2 linked regions of the Danio rerio genome follow. The protein of the gene in region 1 purifies or fractionates together with the protein of each later gene. This does not show direct contact. Links are inferred from orthologs where the notes say so. Each region holds a gene or a part of one and is shown on either strand. Other genes may lie near its edges.

Region 1 (3,967 bases):
AATTTTCATTTTTGAGTAAACCAATCCTTTAATGATATTATTGCAAATATGCCATGTTGATGGCAGCTATCAAGGTTTAGATAGCTATCATCTTAATATACATCAATTAAACAGTAATAAACATTTCTTTTTGTAGTTCAATAATGTATGGTATGGTAAGGACACACAATAAAAAACGACACAGAAAATATTATATTTACCTCATATTTTGATATCTTGTGAGTAAGGTATCAAGGCGGCCCAGTCAGTCAGTTTACATAGGACTACTAATTTTGTTTTCATACAAAGTAGTTTTTTTAGCTTTAATAAACTATCATAATAAAAGCTATTTTAATTCCGGTAAGGACCATGTAAATGTGTGGGATGGCCGCATTTAGTTACAATAAAAAATCATAAACAATATTAGCCTATATAATAATAATAAACTTGAAGAAAGAAATGTTAAATAAGCTGATGAAAATCAAATAATATAAATTTTTAGTAAAATGTTCTTATTTTTTAAAACAAATTGTGACCAGAGTTATGGAACATGAACAAAAATATGTTTGGAGGTATTTTCATAAGTTTAGGCTATATAAAATCACTTAAATATTATTATATATAAACAAACATTTTTTTCAAGGTCTGTAATATTTATAAAGCATCATATACCAAATTTTAACATATATCTAAAAATATGTAAATAAAAAAAACACTTTCTCTTGGCAAAAAAGTATATTATTTTATAGTGCCACCTTGTGGATTCTCACTAGTAGGTCTTTTACTACATCCTAAATTTTCAAAACTAGCAGATGAAATAAATTAAATTGGCTGCCTGACCTTTTTACATTATTTATTTATTTATTTATTTATTTATTTATTTATTTATTTATTTATTTATTTATTTATTTATCTATCTATCTATTTATTTATTTATTTATTGGTTTGTTTGTTTAGAACCCATAAGCAGTCATTAACTTTAGTGTTTAATGTGGTCTTCCCAAAGTTGTTGGCAGCCAAATACATCGATACTGTAAATGTTGTGTTTATTGTAAATGGCCATAAGTTGACTTTTTGGTGATAAAAAAATAAAAATAAAATACGAAAAAAAAAAGACTTTTAATGGACTGTCGTGTCTTGCTGACGTAACACCCTACCGGAAAACGCTTTGTCGCGCCCGGAAGCTGTGCGTACGTTTGCACTACTGGTTCGGGTTGTGATTGTTCGGTGTGTTGGGAAGTTTCTTTATTTGCGTTAGTTCGTCGTGTTTTAAAGGACCCCCAAACATGACCGAGGTAAGGCTGTGCTGTTGTTGCATTAGCCGTTGTTCATTTGAAAATGATATCTGTTTAGTTTTTCTGTAATTGAACGCGGCGTAACGTTACTGTATTACCACACGTGTGGTCATTTGGATCTGCATATACGTCTTATAATATCCAATCAATTAATCGATGTTGATATTTTGTCTTTTTTATACACACAGGACGTGCAGAAGCACTCAGTCCACACGCTTGTGTTTCGCTCTTTGAAACGGACTCATGATATGTTTGTGGCGGATCATGCCAAACCTATAGCGCAGGACGAGCAGAGGTAAATAATCAAACTTTTTGCTCTCAGTATTGTATGGCAACGTTGATTAAAAATTAAAATCGATATAGACCTTTCACTCACCCTCAGATGGTTCCAAACCTTAATACGTTTCTATTTAATTGAGATATGTTGAAGAATCTTGGAAACCGGTTGCCATTGACATTCATAGTAGGGAAAATATTATAAGCGTCACATTGAGGTGAAGCTGGTTTTGTATTCGCTCATTCGGACTTTCTCCTTAATAATATAATTTTTGTTAAAGTAATCTTTGCAAATTTTAAATGGGAAAACCATATTAGCAGCCACGACTATCAAAATACAGTATTGTTCACAGTCAAATAAATGGTGCTAATGTTGTTTTGAAGTCATATTTATATGTGATTTCAGACTGAATGATCAAAGTACCTAGGTAAACAATATAGGGAGCATGTCACAAGTTATCACTGAAAGAATGTACGGATATAAAACCAACTTTTCCTCAATGGACATCATTGGCTACCGGCTTCCAAGATTCTTCAAAATGTCTTATTTTGTGTTCAACTAAAAAAAAATCTGACAAGTTTGGATCAATTGGGAGGGTGAATCATTTTTAATTTTTGAGCAAACTGGCTTTTCAAGCAGAAAAGACATTTTGAATGGTGGTGGTGATTTATAAACTCGTGTTACAGGGTTTGTTAAAGCCATGTTTTTTTACAATAACATTTTACAGCATTTGACAGGCTGTTCATCACCACTGTGAAGATCCTACTCAATGCTTGTTTTACAAGATTTCCTTATCTGCAAAACAAATTTCATTGGACTGTCCTGCTTTTAAAGGGGTGGTCCAGAGTGTATTTTTAAGCCTTGTTGTGTTTATAAGATGCAAAGCAATGTGTGCTCATGTTTAATTTGTAGAACATCTTACTTTGATTATATACAACTACTCAGCTAACATGAAAACAACTGTCATTTCCTAGTTTCTTCAAAAGCCTGTCCTCAAGAGGCTCTGATTGGTCAGCTAACATAATGTGCTGTGATTCACAGATCGGCTCCACGTCACCAGGAAATGCACCTCTAATAGCATGCACTGTGCCTTTGCTTGTGTAAATACTGTCAATCAGTTTAGCTGTTAGTCATATCAGTTTGAGCCTGAATCAGAAAGAAAAAGAAAAGGACACAGCTGAACCTCACGCCCGTTCTCTAAAATAAAACCTGACAAGTGTCTTTCACATATATCCGGAATAAGCATGTGTAAGTAATATGAAACTTTCACATATCTTTTGCGAGTTTGTTGTCTGAGATGTAGAACACAGGGAAATCGACCTCATAGACACTGCAGCGTGGTAAAGATTGTGGCTGTTTACAAGGGTTTGATGGACAAATATGAATTTGTAGCCAAATTGTTAGTAGTGCCCTACAGCATTTCCCATTGTTTACATTTTTGTTTGTGTCTTTGCTTCAGCATACCGTTAATGATAGAAACTGTGCATGTAGTAGATCAATTATAACAAATATAAATATCAGTTTTGTCTATTATGGTTGCAACTTCTGCTTCTTTGGAGGAGTTTTAGCCGAATCCAACACTGAACTTGGAAACATTCTGGAAGCTGTCCTTTGTCAAATGCTAGAGCTTTATCATTTTTATCATTCTCTGGAACATAATTAAAATTAAGCTAGTTCGATTGAGTAGGCGCAGCCAATGTGACATCGTAGCGGAGTTTGCGGAGGTTTGGGTGCGTACAACATGATTTCGGGAATAGTTTTTTTTCTTTACACTCGAGCAAACAGTGTGTGCGGTGCCGCATTTGATTTGAGTTTAATATGAAACACTTTGAAGAGATTTTGTCTGGAACAGGTACGCCTGTACAGACATCTTTTGTAGAGATAACCATTTATAGGATTTTACAGTGATGTATATATTACAATTTTGAATTTAAAACAATTTAATAGTTACAAAACTAAAATGAAGGAACAAAATATTTCTTTGATAACTGGAAAGGAATATTTAAACCCATCGGTTTACAATATACTGATGGCTTGTTTGTCTAGGCTTTATCAAATCAAATCAGGCCTTTATTTGTCACATACACTTTCGTATTGTGAAATTTGACCGTACACAAACATCACAATTTTCAGGGGAAGACAGGTCACAGGAGGTAGCATTTAGAAAGGCAAGATGCATCAGGAGGGTTAGGCAAAAAATACCCTCTAAACTTTGCTCTTGATTAGAGCAAATTGAGACGGAGAAAAACAGCCCATCTAGCACAAGAAAGCACACAGACAAGACACAACATTGACAACTGGGATGGGAACAGGGGATATGGATGTAGTGCGATGAGGGTGGGCAGCCATCTGGTCCTGCAGCCATGGAGGAGCTGGTCGCAGACCCGCCCACTCCTCTCATGGGTGAAAGCATACG
Region 2 (3,500 bases), on another chromosome or scaffold:
AGCCGCATTACGTCTGGCTGCTGTGGTCAATGATGAAAACTTTGTTTCTAAAGAAGGAAAGTCCAATTATCAGGTCAGCAAATGACAGATTGTTACTTAAAAAAATGTATGTGTCCTGTAAATCTTGTATGTTAAAACATTACTATAGTTCAGGGTTGTTTTAGTTTTTTAACATATTTCACATCACATGATTCTTCAGAAATCATTCGATATTTGGGTTATTATTCAATTGATAGTCATATTATGTTTAGCATCATGAGTTTAGCTTTTCTCTGGAAACTTACATTTTTATTTAAAAAAAGGGTTGGGTGGTATTTGTTGTCTAAAATGATAATTGTTGTAATGTTGTGCAAGCAGACAATAGTGTCTCACTGGCAGTTTTAGTGTCATATTTAGTTATCGATCGCACCGGCACAAAAACACACTATTAAAGAGATAGTTTACCCAAAAATGAAAATTTCCACATCATCTACTCACACTACTCACACTTTTTTTCCTCTGTTGAACACAAAACAAGATCTTCTGAAAAATGTTGGAAACACACATCCCTTGACATCCACAGGGAGATTACAATATACTATGTTAATCAGTGACTGTTTTCTCCAACATTTTCAGTTTATTTTCATTTGTGTTTTTACAGAAAAAAAAACACGAACAAGTAGAGGATGAGTGTTTGAGTAAACAATCTCTTTAACTTATATAGATATTTAACTTTAAAAGATATATTTTTGCTCTATCACACAACCCTAATTACTAGGGATGTAACAGATCATGGTTGATTTGTGATTCGTACGTATCACAACCCATGGTTTGGAACACCTGTGACCAGCGGTTTTAATACTTTTTTGCTTGTAGATTTACCCGTAATTTGTAACGATCACAGAGAGATCGTCTCTCACGTCATGCAAATCACATGTATGAAAGCATTTAGGCTTTCCTGTAAAATATAATGATGACTGAAGAAGTTGTGTTAGGTTATTTGGGATGTGGTGGGTTTCTTAGGTTATTAAAGGTGTTTTCTGTCACTACTTGTTTAGCCTGCATTAATGGATTCAGTGTAAGCTGCATGATTAATTATTAAAAGATCGGGATCTTAACACCCACACAATATAAATATAAATAATGGTGATTTGCATGTTTATTAATCCTTCAAATCGCTGCATTCAAATCTGAAAACGCAAAAATCAAGAAAGAGATTGAGTGTTTAGTCTTAAGTTAGTTATGAAGTTACAAACAGTAAAAAAACAAAGAAGTACTGAGATAACAGTTTATAGTTTAGATAAAACCACTGATGATTATTAAATTCTTTACAATAAATTAATGGTAAAGATTTGCTCAAAAATTAACAGCAGCTATTACATTATTTAACCAATAGGTGGCAACAATCAGCCATCAAAAATATGCCACTGAATAATTCTTCAAAAATTACACATTTAGCAATGAAACATGACGTTTTATGAGTAAATAACTGAATCATTGAAAATAAAAAAAAAGAGAAAATCGAAAATGAGACAAAATAAAAATGGGTTGTACAAATTATAATGTTAGATTTCTATATTTAGCGTTATCAGTAACAGTAGTGGTAGGTATGTATTTTTTTTTTTAAAGTACTGAATATTTTACAGTTTATTTTTCTTCAGCTGATTATTTCTTCATTTTTATTGTAATAAAGTTACAGGTTCTAAGTTCTGTTTGTTTGAACCAACATTTCCTACAGACTGTTTTTGTAATAACGAAAAGCAAATTACAATTGTCTCTTTTCCTTATTGGCTGATCTAAAAAAATGGTCTGATCCTTGACTAAAAACCATAATGTGATCCGAATCGTGAGATTTGTGATCCGCTACACCACTAATAAATACATTTGTGAATTATGTGCAACATATTTTTCAAATTTTTGTTTTGTAAATGTAAATTTTGAATTCCAGTTGTGGCACGAGCTCTGTGATCTCATCTCACAAAACCCGGACAAGGTGACCTCGCTGAACGTGGGAGCGATTATCAGAGGAGGCCTCACTCGCTTCACTGACCAGCTGGGCAAACTCTGGTGCTCAATGGCCGATTACTACATCCGCAGTGGCCACTTCGAGAAGGTAAACCACGCGTTTAATAAAACACAAAGGACTCTATTCTAACAATCTAAGTGCAATGTCTAAAGAGGATGTCTAAAAACTCTGCGTCATTGACTTAGACCAGCTTTTTGATGGTCAATGATGTGGTTTATTTCAGTCGTCTCAAAATAGCAGGGTGCCAACAATGTGCCTTAACCTTCTTTTCAGACCAACACACCCATAAGTGCACAAAGTGGCGCAAATACTTTAGTTATTTAAACAACTTGGCACGAAACGTGAAAATGACACGTGCGCCGTTCTAAAAATAGCAAAAAAACAAAACAAAGACTCACCAATTACTTATACTCAAATTGATGACATTTTCTGTCTTGCTTCCTCAAGGCTCGAGATGTTTACGAAGAAGCCATCCTAACAGTTGTGACCGTGCGAGACTTCACCCAAGTTTTCGACAGCTACGCGCAGTTTGAGGAGAGCATGATCGCTGCCAAAATGGAGACCACATCTGAACTAGGCCAGGATGAAGACGGTGAGAGATTTTTCACAGAAGACCTTACAGGAATTGAGCCTTGACCTTGGTCTTACAGAAGTGCTTATTTCTCTACTCTAGATGACATTGACTTGGAGTTGCGGTTGGCTCGATTTGAGTCTCTTATAACTCGCCGGCCGCTTTTGTTAAACAGCGTGCTGCTGCGTCAAAACCCTCACAACGTTCACGAGTGGCACAAGAGAGTCAAACTCTATGAGGGCCAGCCTCGACAGGTCAGAACCATTACTTACATTTGAATATCTATTCATATTTGTTTTAACATTACTACTATGTTGGTGTTTTTGACGCGTCTTGTGGTGTTGTTTTTCTTGTAGATCATCAACACGTACACGGAAGCTGTGCAAACAATAGATCCTATGAAAGCCACTGGAAAGCCTCACAGTCTCTGGGTGTCCTTCGCCAAATTCTACGAGGATAATGAACAGATAGACGATGTATGTAGTTCTTGACATTGATCATTGTAGTTGATTATGGTAAATGTGAGGTTCGGTCCTTAAACTCTATTAGGCCTATCCAATCTGCTTTCAACTACATGGCGCGGATGATTGGCTGCCGTCACTTCAGCAACCAATGAGCCCACTCCTCATTGTTTAAATACCCCAGAGTTGTTTCTACTTTCAATTTACAGTGTATTAATTTACAACAGTTTTTTTTCTTTAACAAATGAAACGTTTATAGTCCACAACTACTGTATTTTAATATAACAGTTAAATCATAAAAAATTAAGTGATTGACAGTGACGTGTTATGACAAGCTATAATTTGACTTGCTTGAAATATGCAGACTTGACTTGACTTGAGTCACACAGATATTGATTTGACTTGCTTGAGACTTAAAGGTTATGACTCTAGACTTGTGACTTGCACATGTGTGATCCACCTC

Evidence for each region.
Region 2: the proteins of plrg1 (region 1) and xab2 purify together in Homo sapiens (affinity purification with mass spectrometry; 3 studies listed by BioGRID and IntAct, counting the BioPlex papers as one, with this or other methods). This does not show direct contact. The link is inferred for Danio rerio from reciprocal best matches to the Homo sapiens genes PLRG1 and XAB2.

The regions. Positions count from the first base shown.
Region 1 is NC_133176.1:27,248,519-27,252,485, forward strand, and holds the start of plrg1 (pleiotropic regulator 1), read left to right. Parts: upstream 1-1,167; 5' UTR 1,168-1,265; coding exon 1,266-1,274; intron 1,275-1,462; coding exon 1,463-1,569; intron 1,570-3,967. UniProt on the Homo sapiens protein: Involved in pre-mRNA splicing as component of the spliceosome. Component of the PRP19-CDC5L complex that forms an integral part of the spliceosome and is required for activating pre-mRNA splicing.
Region 2 is NC_133178.1:55,865,549-55,869,048, forward strand, and holds part of xab2 (pre-mRNA-splicing factor SYF1), read left to right. Parts: coding exon 1-73; intron 74-1,927; coding exon 1,928-2,092; intron 2,093-2,452; coding exon 2,453-2,597; intron 2,598-2,678; coding exon 2,679-2,830; intron 2,831-2,932; coding exon 2,933-3,052; intron 3,053-3,500. UniProt on the Homo sapiens protein: Involved in pre-mRNA splicing as component of the spliceosome. Involved in transcription-coupled repair (TCR), transcription and pre-mRNA splicing.